Oryzias latipes: one gene and its partners. The protein of the gene in region 2 interacts with the protein of the main gene of each other region in a biochemical or structural test. Links are inferred from orthologs where the notes say so. Each region holds a gene or a part of one and is shown on either strand. Other genes may lie near its edges. The genes, in order: pak1, ras-related C3 botulinum toxin substrate 1, chn2, rho GTPase-activating protein 32 and hace1.

Region 1 (2,931 bases), on a different chromosome or scaffold from region 2:
AAAAGCTTTGTTTTTGGTTGAACTTACTGATATCCATTTGAATCATTTTATTTGTCTTTTTTTTTCTAGAAATCCTCTTAAAAACATTTAAAAATGACTTTAAATCAGCTTTTCACACTGACCTCCCAAAAGCCAGCATTTTTCCTGATCCAGAGGATTCTGAAGAGGATAAAGGCCTCAGCCTATAAAATTGAGCAAAACTGCCCTAAAAACCCCCATCTGCCCAAAAAAAACCCCATCCGCCCCCTCTGTGAGCAGCGCCGAGATTCTATGTCCAAACTCCATCCATCAGTGGCTCTGGGCGCAGCCGCGTTCAGACAAAACTAAACCTCTCCGGATATACACCTAAACCTACAGGAGGTGATGCTGCGGGCAGCAAGGGACCAACACGTGCGTTACCGTGACAACAGATAAAAGTACCTACAGCTTCACCGACTAAAAGCTCTCGCACACGCACACGTAAAGGCTGGCTGTGCTGGACCGGGACGCCGTTTCACTTCTTTGGGCTCCGTTGAGATGTTCTGTTCCACAGCGATCTGAAGTTCATCCTTCGTTCTCCCCAGGAGATGTGCAGGAGGGGGGGGGGTCAAGACTCAGGGGTCAAAGGTAAGAGTGGAGGAAAATAACAGTCGAAGCAACTTTACAAAAAACAAAGACGGAAGGCGTTTGAAGAACGTCATAATCCAGCCAGAAGCACATACAACGCCACCTTCCTGTGAACGACGCCGGACGCCAGGAGGAGGTGGGGGAGAAAAACAAAGCTAGCTAGCTAGCTAGCGGTTGTTCTTGGCTGCCTCCTTGGCTGCGAGAATCAGGGGGGTGAGGCTGGAAAGAGGCTTCGCCATCTTCAGAAACTGATGCTGTGAGAAGAACACCGGGAACCCAGGGAGGGCAAAGGTGGTGAAAGGAGTCGGGGCGCAAAGGATGAAAGGATGCAGGAAGGGGGGGAGAAAGAGAAGAGATAAAACAGCAGGTTGATCAAGGGTCTGTGAGATATGAAGCTAAAGAAATATTAAAATATATAAATGGTCAAATACTACAATAGGAAAATTGTAATTTAATTTATTATAATAAGTATATGTGCTGAATTTCAGGTAAATAAATTAGCTCATTAAAATTTTTAAACAGAAATTATTTGTCAAAATAGTTTCATGATCAACATTGATCTCTTGTGTAAGTGTGCTGGAATCCTCTATAACAATCTTAATGTTCTGCTTTCTTTTATTTTACTTCAAGTCTTTTTTTAAACATTTTCATTTATTAAAAGTGTAAAATGACCGATATGTTTTTCTTAAGGCCTTAAAATGGTGACAGTGGAGCGTATTTGACTAAACTTTGGTCCGTTTCATAACATTTCTGTTTGTTTCTGTACTGTGAAAAAGGATTTTCTTAGCGCGGGTTTACCTGCAGGAGCTCTTTAGCAGAGCCTCTCTTCTCCACGTCCATCTCCAGACATCGGTTTAAGAAGTCTCTGAATATCGTTGACAGCTTCTCTGGATTCTGCAGCTCTGGGGTCCCGTTGGTTGCAATAAGATAAAGCGCCTGCAAAACAGAAAAAAGGATATTTTCCTCCCTTAGAGAGCTGGACAGTGAAAAAGAGATCCAGAGAGGTGCTTTGGTGCCATCTAGTGGCAGTTTAAGAGGCAGAAATCCCACAAAAACTACCCTTAAGGTCACAGTGTTCTTCAGCATGTCCATCGTAACGAATAAAGCGTTTTTATTTTGAATTTCAAACTGCAAAAATGGCATATGCATATTGTTATATATGCATATATTATGTATACTTCTAATTTTGGCTAATGAATCACTTATTAGCTGTTTAGACGTTTTTGTTTTGAGGATTCTGGTCTGTACCAACCCCCTAAAGGAAGCGCTGATAGGCATAAAAATAGGATTTAGAATCATTTTTTTAGGACAAAAGTTATTAAATGCTTAAAAATAAAATAAACCAGATAACAAGTAACAATTTTCAATCAAAATATGTAAGAATAAAACAGTCAGATCCAGACATAAAGCCCTCAGTGCAGCTAAAAGCGAGTTAAACAAAACCTCACAACGATGCTGATTTACAAACTCCTAAACCAAAACCAGAAGAAAGTGTTGACTAACCTCAAATGGACTTACAGAAGATTAAAAATCTTTCTGGTTAACATAAATAAAAATCCTAAAAGTGAAAAAAGAAAACGTTTGAAGACTCTCCTTCATCCAGGATGGATCCATAGCAGAAAGAAAGATTTAAAAAGAATCCATCAGGATTTAGCTTTTTAGGTTGAAGACGAAAACCTTTTTGTTTAAAAAAAAAAATCAATCAAACTCACTCTAAGAGGATTCTCATTTAAGTATGGTGGCTCTCCTTCAACCATCTCGATGGCCATGATGCCCAAAGACCAAATGTCCACTTTGGGGCAGTACGCTTTGCGAGTCACGACCTCCGGAGCCATCCAGTATGGAGTCCCCACCATGGTGCTGCGCTTGCTCTGCTCCGGCGTGATCTGAGCGCAGAAGCCAAAGTCAGCTGGAAGAGGCGAAAGGAGAAGAATTAGTGAGTTCACCTTTTGGAGAACAAATCTGCTGTTTATTCTGGAACAGATCTAGAAACCAAAAGGCCACTGACTGAGTTTGACAGAGCCGTCCATGCCCAGCAGGATGTTGTCGCTCTTGATGTCCCGATGGATGACCTGGTTGGAGTGAAGGAACTCCAGGGCCTGAAGACACTGAACAGGAAGTAGAGTAACCCTCCTACCCATGAGGCACCAAAACAACAAACACTTTTGATAGTAAAGCCTTAGACACATGCACCCAAACAGGGTCGTTGACCCTTAAGCTATGTTCACACCGGGCATGTGATTCGCGTTCTTGAACACGTGTTTAGCATCTGGTGTTCACACTGGACGAGCAGGGGGGGGCTTCTTCTTTTCCTAATGCTTACCA
Region 2 (4,388 bases):
CGGGAAAGTGCAGTTTCCTGTGCGTTTCTATCTCTCCAAAACATAAGAGCCATGATGCTCGCGGCTATGCTGGTGTCTTTAATTGGGATCCAACTTTACTGTTAATGCTGGATGTTTTAAATATTTAACAAAAAAGTGTAAGAAACACAAAAAGTAAGAAGATTGGGGAATAGTAAAAATGTAGCCTTAGATATGAATAAAATGTATGTGTTTTGGGCCAGTTTTCTACATAAAAAGCCAATCAATAGTACACATCTCTTGAAATTGTTCTTTAAATACACTTTTTTTTTTTTTACAAAAAAATAAAAATAAACTGTATATGAAAAAACACAGGTCTGTATTTTAATTACCAACATTAAAAAAGTCAACGTGTTCACATCTGTATTATTAGTGTTTTTTGCTCAGGCACCACTAACCTTGGCACGGACGTTTTCAAATGAGGCCGGACTCACAAGAGAGAAGCAGATGAGGAACACATCCTGTAAGACAAAGACAAAAAAGGTTCAGAGTCCATGAAATTCATTTCCTGTTGAGCAAAAAATAAATAAAAATAAATAACCTATCGCTAAGGTGGTCTGTTTAACTTTCTTTAAAACCCTCTTCTACATTTGAATACCACAAATGCTCCCAATTAATTATTTATAAAAGTTATCAACTAAATAACACCTTGTCTGACTATTTTTGTCATTGTACCGTCTGTGGGTAAGAAAGTGGGCGGAGTCTGTCGTAGTCTTCTTGTCCAGCTGTATCCCAAAGGCCCAGGTTCACCGGCTTCCCATCCACCATAACATTGGCAGAGTAGTTATCAAACCTGTGAGAATCAAGCATTCATAAAAACTCAGTTATGTCATTCAAGCCTTGCTACATATTTCTGAATTTCTATGATCATTAGATAAATCAAACAGGTTTTTTGGGGGTCAAAAATCAAAGCCTTGTTCATCAGCAGTACATGTTTTCAGCTTGTTCTTGAATCAGAATAAAAGCAGAATGTACATTTATAAATAATCAGAATGAACCAAAGTGTTTTGAGTGACAAATTCCCAAAAAGCCACAGATCCCACAACTAAGAAAATAAACTAGCTGGTTGCACTTCTGGTAATTTTACATAACAAATGCTTCTCTGAACCCAAACAGCTGCCTGTTAAAAAAGAAAGTGACTTCTTATGTACAAGGAAACTAATATTCCCCCATAAGACCAGTTGAAGAAATGAAACAAAGACACAGTTAAGCAACAACTGTCCAGAAGAAGAATGACAGACAGCTTAGCCATTATGAATAAATAAACACTCACACTGTGGGGATGTACTCTCCTGGAAAGGCATTGGTGGTGTAGCTGATGAGTAGACATGTCTTACCCACAGCACTGAATAAGAGAAATGTTATGTTCAGAATTCAGGAAAATAAAACATATACAAGCTGTCATTAAAGTCAGGCTTAAGTTGTTCGATTATTTTACATTTACAAAGCTAAAAACAGTCCAAGCATTTTATTTAATAACATCAAAGTTACTTGAAATAATTACAACCATTAAAAATATAGTTTCAAGTTAAATGTGGACACTACGCAAAGTTTGGTTTTTAACAAACTGAAAGGAGGAAGTCTGAGAGTCACATTATCATCCGTAGGATAAAAGCAGGATCAAAATAATCCAATATCAAAAATCAATAATTGCCAGTTAATCATTTATTATCATCTCGTAGGTAATGTCAGTTTTATTGAAGCACTCCTGATAGAATGAGTGCACTGATTTCAGGAAATAAGGTTTTTTTTTCTCTTCCAGGCTAGTTGATGAGTAAGCAGATATTTTAAACTTTTGAAACTTTAAAGAGAACTGGTGCCTTAGAGTTTCTTCAAGTCGGAACGGAAAACAAAACAAAAGTCGGAGAGGTCGAGGGACGACTCCGCTGCGGTGGGACCAGCCGCACCCTCGACAAGACGTTACAAGTGTGTTTACCTCTAGCATATTACACATCAGTCAGACTTTCAATATTAGCTCATTGACAATCCTGTCTTTAAAATATTGCAAACTAAACCTACTAATTTAACTATTGTGTAACACAAAAACACGCCCGTGTCAATACAACAGAAGAAGAAACAAATTTCAACTCTTCGAAAAAGTACATATAATTTTTGCCCATTTTGTTCAAAAATAACTTCAAAACAAATCTAAGATCAATCTAACTCTATTCACTGATTTTGGCGTAAATAAATAAAAAAATCTGGAACATTGGATCCAGAACGGTAATATCAGGGGAAAAACAAATGCAATACAAAATGTTGTACATTTCGAAAAAAAAAGAAAAGAACTTGAAAGTCCAATATTTAACCGATAACTTGGCTAACTTTACAACTCCAAAAATAAGACGCAACATTTATGTCGAATGACAACTTTTCGACATCACTGGCGGTTTCAGGGTTTGATACCAAAACTGTCGATTAAATGTTAAATATCACAGTGAGTTTAGTTAGGTTCAACTTACCCGTCTCCAACAACGACACACTTTATGGCCTGCATTGCGCCGCAGCTACAGGAATGCTAAGTTAGCCCAGAGCCAGTTAACGTTAGCTCGGATAGCTTGTCCTTTGTCCGCAACTCCTCTCAAGTGAAACTACCCAACAGTCTTTGCTAACAGTCGACCGCGCTAACTCAAAACTTTCTAAACGGAGAACGGCTTGTTAGAAAATAAAGTTGCGGCGACTCAATTCGGACTTTAGGTCAACTAAACTCAGAAATTCCCTGGCAACATTCCCATGCTTTCGTGAGCTGCTCTATGAGTTATGGAGCAAAACAGCGGCCACCACCCCTATAGCTAAAGAGAAAAAAAAATGAAGCCAGCTCTACAAGATAGGGCATCCGGCGCACGCCCACAGACACCTTAACCAAAGAAAAGATAGCCTCAAACTAGTAGTAAAAAAAAGGGTCAGCTACTCTGGTCTTAAATATAAAGCTTAAAGTTATATATAAATAACATTTGAAAACTAAAATATTACATTTTGGTTTAATGAAAACAAAATAAAAGAAATCGTCGAAGACGGAATATTTACGGTGTGACACCTAGGGTGGAACTGACGTCAGTTTTGACGCGTCTACGGTTCATTTACGATTACAATGGAATTTTTGGTGTGTTGTTTAATTTCCCTGAATTATGCCTTTCAGGCTGAAAAAGTTTTTTTGGAGATGGAAGGATAGCTTGCTCTCCCACCCCTACACCACGATAAATTCAATTATACCATACCAGCAAACATGCACTGTATTAAAAAATAAAGTAGTAAAAGAAAAAAAAAGTCAATGTGTGCCTATTCTAATACGACAAAGATATTTAGCTTCAAAAATGTAACACAATCAATGATTAGTTGGTCATTGTATTTCCAAAAAGTCTGTAGTACTTTGCTTCAGTTCAAGATTTTTTGTGTAGTGAACTTCTGGAAAACAAACCAATTTACCTGGTTTTGTAATGGTGCAAAAACAACATATATACATATTTAGTAACTCAAAAAACCTCTTCTATGTTTCTGTTTGTTTAGTTTTATGAGAACCATAGTAGTTGTGTCTAGGACGTGTTTTTTTTTTCCTTAGCCACCACCCAGATCTGGAAGTCCTTTCAGTCTTTACTCGGGGTTTTATTTAATCCTGGTTTTACTGCACTTCCGTGTGTCGCAGCGATGTCTGTCCTCGGTAGAAAACTAACAGGGTGGAGTAGATGCCAGTACAACGGCAGCAAAAGACGGAGCTCGTTGAGGGTGAAAGATAGAAGAATGGAGCTTCATCCAACACTTGCAGCCATTGTAGCGTCCCCTTGCCTGTTGCCTTTGTAAGCCAAGAACACAGCGCTCAGGGTTGGGCTTTTATGGCGAGTCTTTCGTATCTGGTGCTCCGGTTTTCGGGCTCCGCTGGTCGGACTTACGGACTATTCTCCAAAGGCTTGACGAGGACTTTGTTGATATTTTTTGATCTCGCATGGCGGCTGAGAATACGATTCCCCTACTTTTACTTGGTAGCCTCAATGGTGTTTAACGTCAGATTACAGGTAAATGTTTACACACTATTTTCAGACTGACGGTCACGGTGAGCTTGTCACCATGCCAACAACAGCTGTTGGGGGGCCTCGATAGGGAACCTTTGTTCTTATAGTCAGTTAATCCCAGGTTAAATTGATATATAATCTCTACTACGTGCTGTCCCATAAAACTGGGTTCATGAAAATCATCTGTTAATCGGAAAAATAATTTACTGACATTTGATCAATAGTGAAACAAGTTCATATTCACCCATATTTAGTGTTTGTATCTGATCTAAAATAAAAAACAGTAGTCTGTAATGTGTAATCAGTCAGGGGAAACAACAAAATAGATTTTTTCAATCTTAAATATGAAATATTAGCAATAAT
Region 3 (4,520 bases), on a different chromosome or scaffold from region 2:
CACGTCCCAGCTTAGATCTGGGTTCAAGTCCCTTACGGGGTTTGAATCTTCTTCCCATATATGTGTGGTTTTCTCCAGTCACCTCCCACAGTTCAAAATATGCCTCATGGGCTAACTATTTACTCTAAAATGGGAGTGATTGTGTGCAATCTTGTGATCCTGAAAGGGGTGTTGTGGGTTAAGAAAATCAGTAGAGAATTTATCCAAACAGTGGTGTATTTTTTTCTTGTGTCTTCACAACGTTCACACCTTTTTTTGTCACGACTGACCACACCATCTTAAAATGCATCTACATCCATGCTCAAGGAGCGTTTTTATCGGCGGTCAAGTATATGTGTTTGTCTGATCGTGTTCAGATTGTACTGAAACCAATTTCAATGCCAGTGGAAGCTGTGCATGTAACACATACATGAATCTGACTCTATGTGCCAAATTCAAGTGACGCTAAAAATGTTTTATTGTGGCCTGTCAGTTTTGATAATGTGCTAGTGAGCTAATAACTTTATAATGACAAAACCTCAGAAAAGAGGAACCAAGAGTATAGTTACATTACTCTGTTAAAGAGATACCTACTAATGATTAAATGCAGAAATAAATAAAGTTTGCTTTTTTTAAGTTAAACGTTTTCCCACAGTGCAGGGGGAAGGGGGAAGGGGGAAAAGATGAAGAAGATGGTCATGCTGAAAAAAAGAGTCAGGTTGCAATGCTTTCAGAAAGGGAATTGGTCATTTATTTAAAAATGTTTTCTGTTCTAGAGATTTTCAAAGTAATTCATATTGGCCTACCTATTATATTGTAGGCAACTAAGTAAAGAATATTTGCCTTTTAAAATAAGAATTATTGGCGACTTGAAAGTGCAACTGTTCTGCACAACTTGCTCAAAGTCAGACTGGAGAAGACAAAAATTGTGAACTGATATTATGTCAAATGTGACATTTCAAAAATGACCACATCCATACCTTTTGAACATTAAGTTCTAGAAAGTGGATTTACTTCAATTCACTTATACTTCAAATAAAAGATCCCCAAAAGAGAAAAAAAAAACTGTTTGTGAACCAGATTGCTTGCTGTGAAACCGTTCATGTGCATTTGTGATTTTTTTTTTTACGTGTTTGCATAAATATATTTGTGATCCGGAGCGTGTGCATTTGTGAAACAGCTTCTGTGCATTTCCAGAATATGAGAGTGAGCTGGCCTAACAGTAAAGAGTCCACAGTTTTTTTGGCCTAGTCTTCAATTATAGATATTTATTCTCAAATAAAGTGAAATAAATGTTTGGGCTTCTTTTGAAAGGATTCCTTGGTTCTCTTTCCCAATTCTTTCATCAATCCACCAGATGGCGCGTAAACATCACCCATAGGGCGCTTTTAACGCAAAGTAGAATGTTATGACATTTGGAAAAAAATGTCATGCAGTTCAGGAACTGATCACACGTGGTTTGGCTGGTTGAACGAATCATTCATTTAACAGGAGAAGACACTGTAACAGTCTGGGATTCTTGCAGACTGAGGTAGGTCGGTTGTTTGTTTTCCGTTTGTCTGCACAGCTCCAAACTTTCTCTTTAAGGCGCGTCGACGCGGTGGTGCGTAAATTAACAAATATTCCATACAAGCGGCGCACATGGGAACCATGGCGCCTGTCCGCGGCAGAGACCCAAGCGTTTTCTTTTGAGTGTCAAGAAAAGCCGAATAATCAACCAAACGTATCCCTGCAGCCTGTCTACTCTCCTGCGTCTGCAGCGTCAGTGAATGCGGCAGCGGCTGCACGCTGAGGCGCACAGCGATCCGAGCCGAAGGGATCCTTCAAACGGAGGGGATCAGGATGAGAGGAAACATCAAGTGATCTGGGGTGAAACGGACTGACATGGAGGCACCGCCGCACCCGAGCTGTGAGCCTACTTTGGCCAAACGGGAGTGACCAAGGCGCAAAACTCACTGGTTGGGATGGCAGCATCCAGCAACTCCAGCCTCTCAGGTTCATCCATGTCCTCTGGTAAGAGTTAACTAATCTAATTGAGGATTAAATCTGAATTTATTTGTTTAAATTAAAATCTACTTAGATGCTTTTGTTATTTCAGATTACATGTATTACTACTTGCTTCATTTGCTGTTACCAAACTTCTACATTGTGTTACATAAAGTCATTCAAATGCTTTATTTACTTGGGATTAAAAGAAAAAGAAGAACATTGAAATTTCCTTTAAATGTCCCACAAATGCACATCTCTTCGCACAATCTTTGGAGAATCATGGAAAAGCATTTGGTCTCAGAAATAACTGGTATCAGCAGTGGATTGACCAGTGTTGGAGACTGGATGGGAACATTGAGGAAGGCTTTTGAGTGTTTGTTATCCTTGAACCGCCAATCTTATTGACCTTCTACCTGCTTGACTGCCATTTTTTTTTTTTTTTTACAAACGCACCAGAGTGAGATGTTCTCTGAAGACGAAAAAATCTGGAATGCAGTTTTGGAGTGACATCAGACAATTTAAAGTGCTGAAGTGAGCACAAAACTCCTGTTGAATCTTCTAGCATGGAAGGCACAGGCCAATGTGAGACTTTGCTGCTGTTTCCCCAGGTGCATTACAGTGCAGACACACTGTGCAAAATTCTGATCTAAAATGTGACTCTGGCCTTCACAGAATGAAGGGAAAAAAATTTGGATCAGCTACCCAAATAGAAACTTTCTTTTGGTTCAGTGAGCTGCTCACGATTGCCAGGATAATGTCAAAACTCAGTAGCGGTGAGATATTTTTTTTTTTTTGTGGGATGATAAGAAAGGAAATGTCACATTAAAGCACACACATAGTTTTTGAGTTTGATATTTCTAGGAAAAGCTGGATGTGGGAGTTTGGTAGGGAGAAGGATATGAGGGTAAAAAAACACAGTGTTTGTTTTACTGTCTCTGCATCCCAGCCAGGCCACATTACAGCGTCACATTTCCCAAGGTGCTGCCCATGTGGGCGGGACAGACAATCATTTCCAAGCTCATCCAGCCTGTGGTAACCACATGCCTCACAAAACATTATATCATGTGTGCATTTTCAGAAAGCCGCATTTGACCACTGCTGCTTTGAGAAGAAAGTCTTGTCTATCTGCGGCCCGAGAGAGTTGTCATTACAGTTGGACTTGCAATGTAATTATCAGGGGTTACAAGATGCAGTGCTGCCAGATTTGGAGTAATTGTCGCAGGGGTGTTATTATTTCTGTGCAGAGCTCTTTTGGAAAAAGACACAACATTTCAATAATCTCGTCTATGAGGCATATCATTCTAACGTGAATTTCGTGGGGGCTTCTTATTTGGAGAATTGTACAGAAACAAAGTTCATTCATTAAATTTGCCCCCATGCCTCTGATTGTTCTCACAATAATTAGTTTAGGGAAGTAAACATTGATTTATTGATGTTTCCTCCAATTTTTTTTCACTGCTATAAATTCTTCTGGCAGCATTCATCCCTTTTGTTTCTGAGCGATTAGGTTTACTGGCTGCTTTTGGAGCACAGAGATGTTCCTGCATGTTCTTGCAACGTAAATGCATAACAGGATGTGTCACTTTGCAGATCCCTTTAGAAGGAGGAAGGTAGTAGAAAATCAAAGGGACATGGCTTGAACTGTACAGCTTCTTTGACCTTAATAAAAAAAACTAATCGGAGGAACAGAGTTCCAGCCATGTACTTACATAGATGCTGTTTGCTAAACAGGATTTTGCAAATGTTTCTTGTAAATGTTGCAATTTGCCTCAACATGTTTTCATCCTAGGATCCATTTTTCTTTATCCCCTTCAGGGCTGAAGGGGTGTGTGTTTGTGTGTGTGTGTGTGTGGGGGGGGGGGGGGGGGGGTAGTAGACAGGTTGCCAGTCCTACCGAGGACATGTCAGTTTTTCTTGCTCTGCAGGGTAATTCATAAAGGGCTGCATGTTTGTCACACACACAGAGCTGGAGAATTGTCACTAATATGATTGGTTGCATCAATGGCAGAAAAAGCATGTTCTGTACAGAATTTACACAGTGTGTTCTCATTCCTGATCCCTAAGGTTTTTCCTTTTCTTGTTTTTTTTTTTTTTTATTGGCTGAATCAAACAAGCTCACCCCTGAAAGACAGCCTCACACCTGTCATATATTATCTGGTCAGCTGACGCTAGCCAAAAAAAATGTTCTAAAATGATATTTTCTATGCTGCTGTCATTCCTGTTTGTATGCATGTACCCAAGGGTAATCAAAATGTACACCCAGTGTATCTATCTCTGCACATCTGTTATACACTGAAGTACATGGGGAAGACAGGAAAATACCAATAACACAGCATTTTGTATTAATACACTGGCACTAAGGCCAAATATTTGTTGATAAACATATTTCTCTGCTAGAACAAAGAACTGGGATAAATCATGAAACAGTTGTATTGCCTTATTGTTGGCTCTGTGAGCCATATATCACATTGTGTCAGTCTATCATTTTAAATTCTATACAGTAGCATCACAGATATTTTTTGCTCATATCAAGTGACCTTATGAACATTTGC
Region 4 (3,892 bases), on a different chromosome or scaffold from region 2:
GAGAGGGTGAGAGAAAGAGAGGGTGAGAGGATGAGAGGGTGAGAGGAAGAGAGGGTGAGAGGGTGAGAGGATGAGAGGGTGAGAGGAAGAGAGGGTGAGAGGGTGAGAGGATGAGAGGGTGAGAGGAAGAGAGGGTGAGAGGATGAGAGGGTGAGAGGATGAGAAGGTGAGAGGAAGAGACGGTGAGAGGGTGAGAGGATGAGAGGGTGAGAGGAAGAGAGGGTGAGAGGGTGAGAGGGTGAGAGGATGAGAGGGTGAGAGGAAGAGAGGGTGAGAGGACGAGAGGGTGAGAGGGAGAGAGGATGAGAGGATGAGAGGGTGAGAGGAAGAGAGGGTGAGAGGAATTGAGGGTGAGAGGGTGAGAGGATGAGAGGGAGAGAGGATGAGAGGGTGAGAGGAAGAGAGGGTGAGAGGGTGAGAGTGTGAGAGGAAGAGAGGAAGAGAGGGTGAGAGGGTGAGAGGATGAGAGGGTGAGAGGGTGAGAGGATGAGAGGGTGAGAGGATGAGAGGGTGAGAGGATGAGAGGGTGAGAGGATGAGAGGGTGAGAGGAAGAGAGGGTGAGAGGGTGAGAGGATGAGAGGATGAGAGGGTGAGAGGAAGAGAGGATGAGAGGGTGAGAGGAAGAGAGGGTGAGAGGATGAGAGGGTGAGAGGAAGAGAGGGTGAGAGGATGAGAGGGTGAGAGGATGAGAGGGTGAGAGGAAGAGAGGGTGAGAGGGTGAGAGGGTGAGAGGATGAGAGGGAGAGAGGATGAGAGGATGAGAGGGTGAGAGGGTGAGAGGAAGAGAGGGTGAGAGGATGAGAGGGTGAGAGGATGAGAGGGTGAGAGGATGAGAGGGTGAGAGGAAGAGAGGGTGAGAGGAAGAGAGGGTGAGAGGGTGAGAGGATGAGAGGGTGAGAGGAAGAGAGGAAGAGAGGGTGAGAGGATGAGAGGGTGAGAGGGTGAGAGGATGAGAGGGTGAGAGGGTGAGAGGGTGAGAGGATGAGAGGGTGAGAGGGTGAGAGGATGAGAGGGTGAGAGGGTGAGAGGGTGAGAGGATGAGAGGGTGAGAGGATGAGAGGGTGAGAGGGGGAGAGGATGGGCTGCGACTAAAGATTCAGTTTTCCCAGCGTGGACCGAACAGGTCTATTGAAAACGGAGGAAACACATCTTTCCAGTGAGGAGGAAGTTGAGAAAGGCGGGTGCGAGCCTCGCCATGCGGCCTTGCCTCTGGCAGGTCGGTCAGGCTCTCCAGGCGGGGCAGCTCGGGCAGCTGCGAGAAGCGCCGGTCATAGATGCACAGATGCAAGTGCTTGTCCAGGACACGGAAATCCTCATAGCTGCGCTTCACCATCCAGCTGCGGCCCTGCAGAACACAGACAAGAAGGCAAGCCAGTGAGCAGAAAGAACGACAAACACGTCTGTCCTCGTTAAACACATTCACATGAAGGTTTTCAGGTGGAATGTTCCAGTGAGAGTCACAGCTTGTTCTTTTTCAGCCATCTTTAATGCAGTTCTTCTACCTGACCATCTTCAGAAGGCAGTCTGCGCCTGGATCAGGCCGCCTAAAGCTGAGCCAAACTCAAACTCATCCTTCCTCAGCGCTGAGCAGTGCTGTGACGGCACACAGTTTCTGCTCCATCTGTGCGGTTCCGCCATCATCTGTGGGGAAGCCTGCCCTGTTTTCAGAGGCAGCTCTGTCAGAAGGGCCTGCTGGAGACCCTCTGAAGATGGTTGGCTGCTGGGAGTGAGGTGAGGAGGGTCGGGCTGAAGGAAACCCCCAGCAGACCTCAGACAGCTACATTTCTGCAACATTTCACCCATTTTCTGGTTGTTGCTCAAATAGAATCTAGCAGAACCCTGAAATCTGGCTTTGAGTCTGGAAAGTTAGTCATATAAACAGGTTGTTCTGCGTCTCCACAAATAAATGTAGTGATGAAAAAGTTCCAAGCGTTTTTCTCCACTAAAGAAAAGTCAAAACCACACAAAGATGAAGTGTTGGAGGAAAAAGTCTGCTGCTCTGATCCGTCTGAACAGAGTCCAGGTCCCGTTCTGAGACCGCTGCGCTCCTTCCAGCGCCGCTTCTAAAGTGCTGCCCCACTTTCAGTTTCCCCGCCTTTCTGGGTTTGTGGCGTTCAGCACAGCGTCCAGCGCTAGAGCTCAGCCACGTGGTTTTTCCACACGGCTGTGGCAGGAGCCCCGCCGTTTCCAAGGACGTGGCTGCATACCTGCGTGGAGCGAAATGTGTTCAGAACGGGCCGCTCAGGATGAAGCTGCAGAGCAGCGGGTGGGGAGGGAAGCCCGCTGCAGCCGGAGGAACCGCATCCCTCTGAAGTTTGGGTTTGGCTTCAATCACAACAGATGAACAGAATGTTGCAGTTCGCCTTCTCAGCAGAACCATCAAGCTTCAAAAGTGTTGCTTTACTGGGGCAGTCCTGACAAACACAGCACCCCCCCAGCTCCCTTCCATTCAAACCAAGTCAGAGATGAGATGAGCCCAAACGGGGACCGGACCACCCTAAAGGGGCTGCAAACTGCTGATGTGGAAGATTACTGGAACACCTGACTGCTTGGAAACCCAACAGAAGCGAGCGCTGGAATCTTCGGCGGTCTTACCTGGCAGTAAATATGCACCAGGTACACCAGCTCTTTGGACTCGTGGCCATTCCTGGTCACCTCACACTGCTCGTCTCCCAGTGAGAGCTGAGGAAAGAGGAGAAACGTGCCAACCTTCAAACAACCTTTGCATTCTGCATTTGTCTTAGAAACCAGTGAGAGTAAAATGAGAAGAAGCAAGGCTCCACAGAAATCTGAGGTGCAGTGTGAAGTCACTGGAGGGGAACGTGCTGAGTGTTTGGAGAAGCTCCGTGTTTGTCAGTGTGCTCGCTGAGTGAGCCGCCTGTCAGAAGACATTTCATTGTGAGTGGAGCTGTGACGGTGTGGGATTTTTGATCACCGCGGTGATTAACCAGTAGGGGGCGCGGAGACCCCGGACGCAGGAGGGTAGCTTCTGTGCCTGTGGCCCCCCACCCCCACCCGCATGTGCCACATTTGACCTCACTGCCTCTCTGCCACAGGCCAGAAGGTCAGCCGTCATTACTGACTACCCTGAGGGGGGGGGGGCTGCCTTGCACCCACAAACACACCAATGATCAAGTAAAGAAAGAACAAAAGTCTCAATAATCCAACACAAACATTACTACAGCAGACAGACCAAGTGAACTCCCACAATGCACCTGGAACCACTGAAAGCCAGCTATGTCATTACACTGGACACCCCTTTAGTCGTATCTCTAAACAAACAAACAGACGCTGCATGAAAAAGTGCTGGAAGCGCTGATGTAACATGTTCCGGTTGAGTGGCGCTGTGAGGTCAGATGTTACCTTCTGTAACCCTCCATCTTTGGGGGAAACGTGCCGTGAGGCGGACAGCATGTGGTCATGTGATCAGTGCCGCCTCCCCGAAACCACGCCTCCTCGATTGTTTCTACTCAAAAACCAAACTGTGAGCTGTGAGGATGGATGATGGGAAGAGAAGCAAAAGGACCAGATAAACCTGGAGGAAACATCACTGAGAATGCTTCAGAAAATCCCTCATGTGTCTCCTCCCTCTGACCCCACAGACATCATCAGCAGCAGGACACCAGAAACCCATGGAAACAGGAAGACGGCTGAACCAGCACTGAAGTGAAGCAACTCATTTTCATGGACGTCTTCTTCAAAAACAGTTTGGTGTAAAAAGCTGCTGTGGTTCTTCCTCTGGTCAGGTTTTTTCTTTTTGCATAAATTCTGCAGGGATCAAAGTGATGAGGTCAAACAAGGACAGACGGAATCCCACATTCATCAGCCATTAAGACTGAAAAAGGAAAAAAAAGGTCTTCTGCGTGAGCTTTAGATCTGCAGACGCCAACG
Region 5 (3,892 bases), on a different chromosome or scaffold from region 2:
ACATAATCAATAGAAATAAAGTTTAGCCTTAAATCCAAAAGGGGTTTATACAAATCTACACCTCGCGTGTCAGAAGATTCATAATCCCCTACTCATTCATTCATTCATTTTCTGTACCGCTTTGTCCCTTTCGGGGTCACGGGGCTGCCGGAGCCTATCCCGGCTACTTGGGCGTAGGCAGGGGATGCCCTGGACAGGTCGCCAGTCTGTCGCAGGGTAGAACGTCCACAGTCACACACCCATTCACTCTCACACTCACACCTATGGACAATTTAGAGTTGCCAAATAACCCATGAAGCATGTTTCTGGACAGTGGGAGGAAGCCGGAGATCCCGGAGAAAACCCACGCGTGAGACTTAATCCCCTACTATAACAGTAAAATCTGTCCAGCCCTAAAGGCTTTTAGCTCTAATCTGCTCAGCTGCTGGACAGGAAAAGATAGAAAAAGAAACAAAATGACCTCATGAAGTCATCCGTTTCCCTCTGGAAGCCATCCACAATCTAGCAAAGAGTTGGACTCTGCCAGCACCTGCAGAAAAAAGCCCTGCATAGAGCTAAAGCCCCCTTTGAAGCCCAGAGAAGATCTGAGGGGCTGATATGATGGAAGGAAGAAAAGGAAAAAGACAATATAGTGACAGATGAGGTGAGGGCACAGGAAGACGTACCAATTCATATTCATCGAACAGTTGAATGAGGGAGGGGGGAATGAAGGTGTGAAACCCCCGCAGGAATGCATTTATCTGTGGCTGGATGGCGCGCGTCATCCTCAGTTCTGTCACCAGCTGCACATACTCGGCCTGAGAGGGAACAGATCAGAGTCCTCGTCAAACTCTGGCTTGTGCCTGCTACAGCTATCTACTGTAGATGTCTGAAGTTTTGTATAACAGCGCCACCTGCAGGAATATACCCTTAACAGAAAGTATTTTTTATTTAATTTTTATTTTTTCAGAACTCTTGCTTTTCTGTAGGAGAAGGCCATTTGATCCCCCCCTATAGCCACATTTCTAGAGATACATAATACCTACAAATTTCCCCCTAATCATTCAGGGTTGGGGGTTCACATGAAGTAATTTACAGACCTAACCCTCCACACACTGCCAGGACGTACAAAACCGTCTAAAACAGAATTTCAACATCAAAGGTTTTAGCTCCAGGACTTGGTCTGGTTTCTGTGGTCAGTCAGGTCAAATCGGGAGAAATGCATCACAGGGAAAGAATAAAACCTGAAACCCGAATTACTCCTCCACAACCTTTAAACATATGAAGTTCAAGAGAAAGAAACAAGGTTTACCCACAAACCGCTAACGTATTATGCCTCCGATTTTACAAACCTCTGGATAGCTTACGTCACTGAGCCCGGTCCCTATTGTCTAACCTGGAAACTAGTTAACTATTAAATTAACTGAAGAAACAACCTGTTAAAGTTCCCTGAACAGAAGAAGAAACTATTTTTTACTATTCAGATCTAAACTCAAGAACGGTGAATGTAGAGAAAAATGGAGAAAGGAACTCTCCCTAAGAGCATCTGTCTTTGAGGGACACATTTCTAATGCAGACCTAAAAGAAAATAAAGAAACTTTTACTTTTGCTCAGCTTTTTGTCTGCTTGGTCATATTTCAGTCACATTGAGCTTTCTCCTACAAACCAAGGAGACTCACTGAAGGCCCTTTAACGCTACCTCAGGTCTTCACTCACCTTGTTTTCCTGAGTGACCAGGGTAGTTGTTCCCCCAGCTTTGAGAGGCACTTCCTCCATGGCTCCAAACACATCCGTTTCAACAGAGAAGGTGAGCTCCAGGCCCAGATCGCTAATGTCATTGTCCAGGATCCATTGCAGGTTCTTGGCGTACTCTGGGTCAATGGACGACACATCCTGGTAGCTCACAGGGATTCCTGAGAATGCACAAACCTCACATGAGAAACCTTGTTTGTGTGATTCCACACAACTTTGGCCAACCGCTCTGACTTTGAACAAGTTTCACCATCAAGCCGTCGTCACACATCAAGCTTAGAGGATCAAACGTGCATGTCGTCAGTCCAACCTTTCAAATGTGCCTAATGTCTTCACTTCCTTCTGACGATGACGCCAGCATGGGTAGTAAAGTCAGAAACCACAGCTAACGATTGAGCTCACCACTGTGCCATATTCTTCATGACAGTGAAAGCAGACTTTTAATCTCCTTCGATGTTGATAGGACACAAACAAAAGTCAGCAATCGATAAGGACAAATGTCCAAAGTCTTGCGGCATGTGTAGGAAATTACCAAATGTAGGTTTAAAGACTCACTCCAACTCTATTGTTTTCTATTGGAAAATCGTTCCCAGTGGTCTTTTAGTTATGATGCTGCTGTTTTTAGCTAAAATCAAAGAGCCTGTGTTGTTTTTAACACATACTTTCTGCAAAGCTGCACTTCTTGGAGCAGAAGTTAGCCTTTCGCTAATTTCCCAGCATGCCCCTGTTCACACTCTCGCTAGCGACACGCTCCTCACAAGCCCAAGCTAACGTCAGTGTAACAACTCCAGCCCAATATCAAAGCTATCCAGCCGCACAGTTTAGAGCCACACTACAGCTCAGATGAGGAAATGAAGACATTCATGGTCTGCAGGCGGAGAATTTAGAATTGGAGCAGAGGAAGCAAGACTTTTCATGTCCTTTATACATGTCTTCTATTATGAGAAAAATGCTACAAAAACATGTTAAAAACGGCAAAAACACCACTTTCACTGGAGTGGGTCTTTAAAGAAATCTAGTGTTCAGGTTCTTTGGGTGAAAGATGAGATGATTGAATGTTATCAGACACAAAGGAAGATTTTTTTTAAATCACACTGAGTCAGCTTGATAGAAGTCAAACTTTCTGAAGGTGACTAGGGTCTCACTGAAACTTCCATTGGTCAACAGCATTTACTTCTTGAAAGAGGCAGGGTAATATTCACACACAGGTCGGTGGTCTAACCCAGGATGTGTTTGTAGAAGGAGCGGGTGAAGTAGATGTTGACCAGCTGCCGGTGGTACAGAGCCAGGCCGAGAATCTGACCAGCAAACTGGAAGTAGTTCAGATGATCAGGATTAACAGAGGAGTTGCTGTTGGGCTGAAACGTTGTACCTGTGAAGGACACAAACAAGCTCATCTCAGCAAAACGAAGCTTCATGTTGGATTCTCTGGGGCGGGGGGGTCCACATACCATCAGCGGACTGTGTGAACAGGGCATAGTCTGGATTAATGATCTCACTGGACAGAATGTCAAACCACTCCCGCACCACGCCCTGACCCTAGAAAACAAGGATGAGACCAGAGTTAATACTTAGCATGATTATGCCACATCACATGATTGCGGCGTCCACGTATACAGCGGTACAATATTGTTGTTTTAGGAGAACTCCTCGTTTTTGTAAGCATCCTGCTAAAGGTCCCCTGTAAAGCAGATCTACAACCGCCAAGACCTCTTGGACATTGTTCGTCAAACCAAAGATCTGGCCGAGGCCGCACTGCCTGTGGTGTCTGCTTGAGCTTGGCTACCTCAGCTGTACGGCTTCTTCAGTGCTGAGCTTTCCGCTCACCCTACTCATGACGGATGACCTGTTTCAGGAGTGTCCAGCCAATGGAAACATGCCAGAGCAGAATATAATGAAAACATGCAGGAATGCAGCCCTTGAGGCCTGGGTTTTTTTTCCAGGAAGCATGTTTAAACTACCCTGACTTTAACCCTGAACTCTGGCTGAAATCCACCTGAACTTGCTTACTCTGGGTATGTCTGTTCCAAAAGACCAGATATGAATTAGCGTAATCACGCTCGATTTGGTAACCCTCCAGTGAGACGGAGTCGGAGATTTTTATGACGGCGTATGAAGATTATACGCCCATCAAATTAATACGGCTGCATCATCAAAAGAA

The links.
Region 1: the proteins of ras-related C3 botulinum toxin substrate 1 (region 2) and pak1 form a complex in vitro, tested with the Homo sapiens proteins (17 studies listed by BioGRID and IntAct). The link is inferred for Oryzias latipes from reciprocal best matches to the Homo sapiens genes RAC1 and PAK1.
Region 3: the proteins of ras-related C3 botulinum toxin substrate 1 (region 2) and chn2 form a complex in vitro, tested with the Homo sapiens proteins (2 studies listed by BioGRID). The link is inferred for Oryzias latipes from reciprocal best matches to the Homo sapiens genes RAC1 and CHN2.
Region 4: of the proteins of ras-related C3 botulinum toxin substrate 1 (region 2) and rho GTPase-activating protein 32, one has a biochemical effect on the other in vitro, tested with the Homo sapiens proteins (3 studies listed by BioGRID). The link is inferred for Oryzias latipes from reciprocal best matches to the Homo sapiens genes RAC1 and ARHGAP32.
Region 5: of the proteins of ras-related C3 botulinum toxin substrate 1 (region 2) and hace1, one has a biochemical effect on the other in vitro, tested with the Homo sapiens proteins (5 studies listed by BioGRID and IntAct, with this or other methods). The link is inferred for Oryzias latipes from reciprocal best matches to the Homo sapiens genes RAC1 and HACE1.

Annotation. Positions count from the first base shown.
Region 1 is NC_019871.2:4,551,850-4,554,780, reverse strand, and holds part of pak1 (serine/threonine-protein kinase PAK 1), read right to left. Parts: intron 2,715-2,931; coding exon 2,615-2,714; intron 2,516-2,614; coding exon 2,319-2,515; intron 1,543-2,318; coding exon 1,405-1,542; intron 861-1,404; coding exon 774-860; 3' UTR 1-773. UniProt on the Homo sapiens protein: Protein kinase involved in intracellular signaling pathways downstream of integrins and receptor-type kinases that plays an important role in cytoskeleton dynamics, in cell adhesion, migration, proliferation, apoptosis, mitosis, and in vesicle-mediated transport processes.
Region 2 is NC_019866.2:11,732,575-11,736,962, forward strand, and holds the start of ras-related C3 botulinum toxin substrate 1, read right to left. Parts: upstream 3,064-4,388; 5' UTR 2,516-3,063; coding exon 2,481-2,515; intron 1,364-2,480; coding exon 1,292-1,363; intron 812-1,291; coding exon 694-811; intron 480-693; coding exon 417-479; intron 1-416. UniProt on the Homo sapiens protein: Plasma membrane-associated small GTPase which cycles between active GTP-bound and inactive GDP-bound states.
Region 3 is NC_019874.2:16,128,280-16,132,799, reverse strand, and holds the start of chn2 (beta-chimaerin), read left to right. Parts: upstream 1-1,392; 5' UTR 1,393-1,510; intron 1,511-1,543; exon of another isoform or gene 1,544-1,714; 5' UTR 1,715-1,943; coding exon 1,944-1,992; intron 1,993-4,520.
Region 4 is NC_019872.2:1,908,536-1,912,427, reverse strand, and holds part of rho GTPase-activating protein 32, read right to left. Parts: intron 2,684-3,892; coding exon 2,597-2,683; intron 1,347-2,596; coding exon 1,209-1,346; intron 1-1,208. UniProt on the Homo sapiens protein: GTPase-activating protein (GAP) promoting GTP hydrolysis on RHOA, CDC42 and RAC1 small GTPases. May be involved in the differentiation of neuronal cells during the formation of neurite extensions.
Region 5 is NC_019874.2:9,386,883-9,390,774, forward strand, and holds part of hace1 (E3 ubiquitin-protein ligase HACE1), read right to left. Parts: intron 3,271-3,892; coding exon 3,183-3,270; intron 3,104-3,182; coding exon 2,954-3,103; intron 1,893-2,953; coding exon 1,696-1,892; intron 798-1,695; coding exon 666-797; intron 1-665. UniProt on the Homo sapiens protein: E3 ubiquitin-protein ligase involved in Golgi membrane fusion and regulation of small GTPases. Acts as a regulator of Golgi membrane dynamics during the cell cycle: recruited to Golgi membrane by Rab proteins and regulates postmitotic Golgi membrane fusion.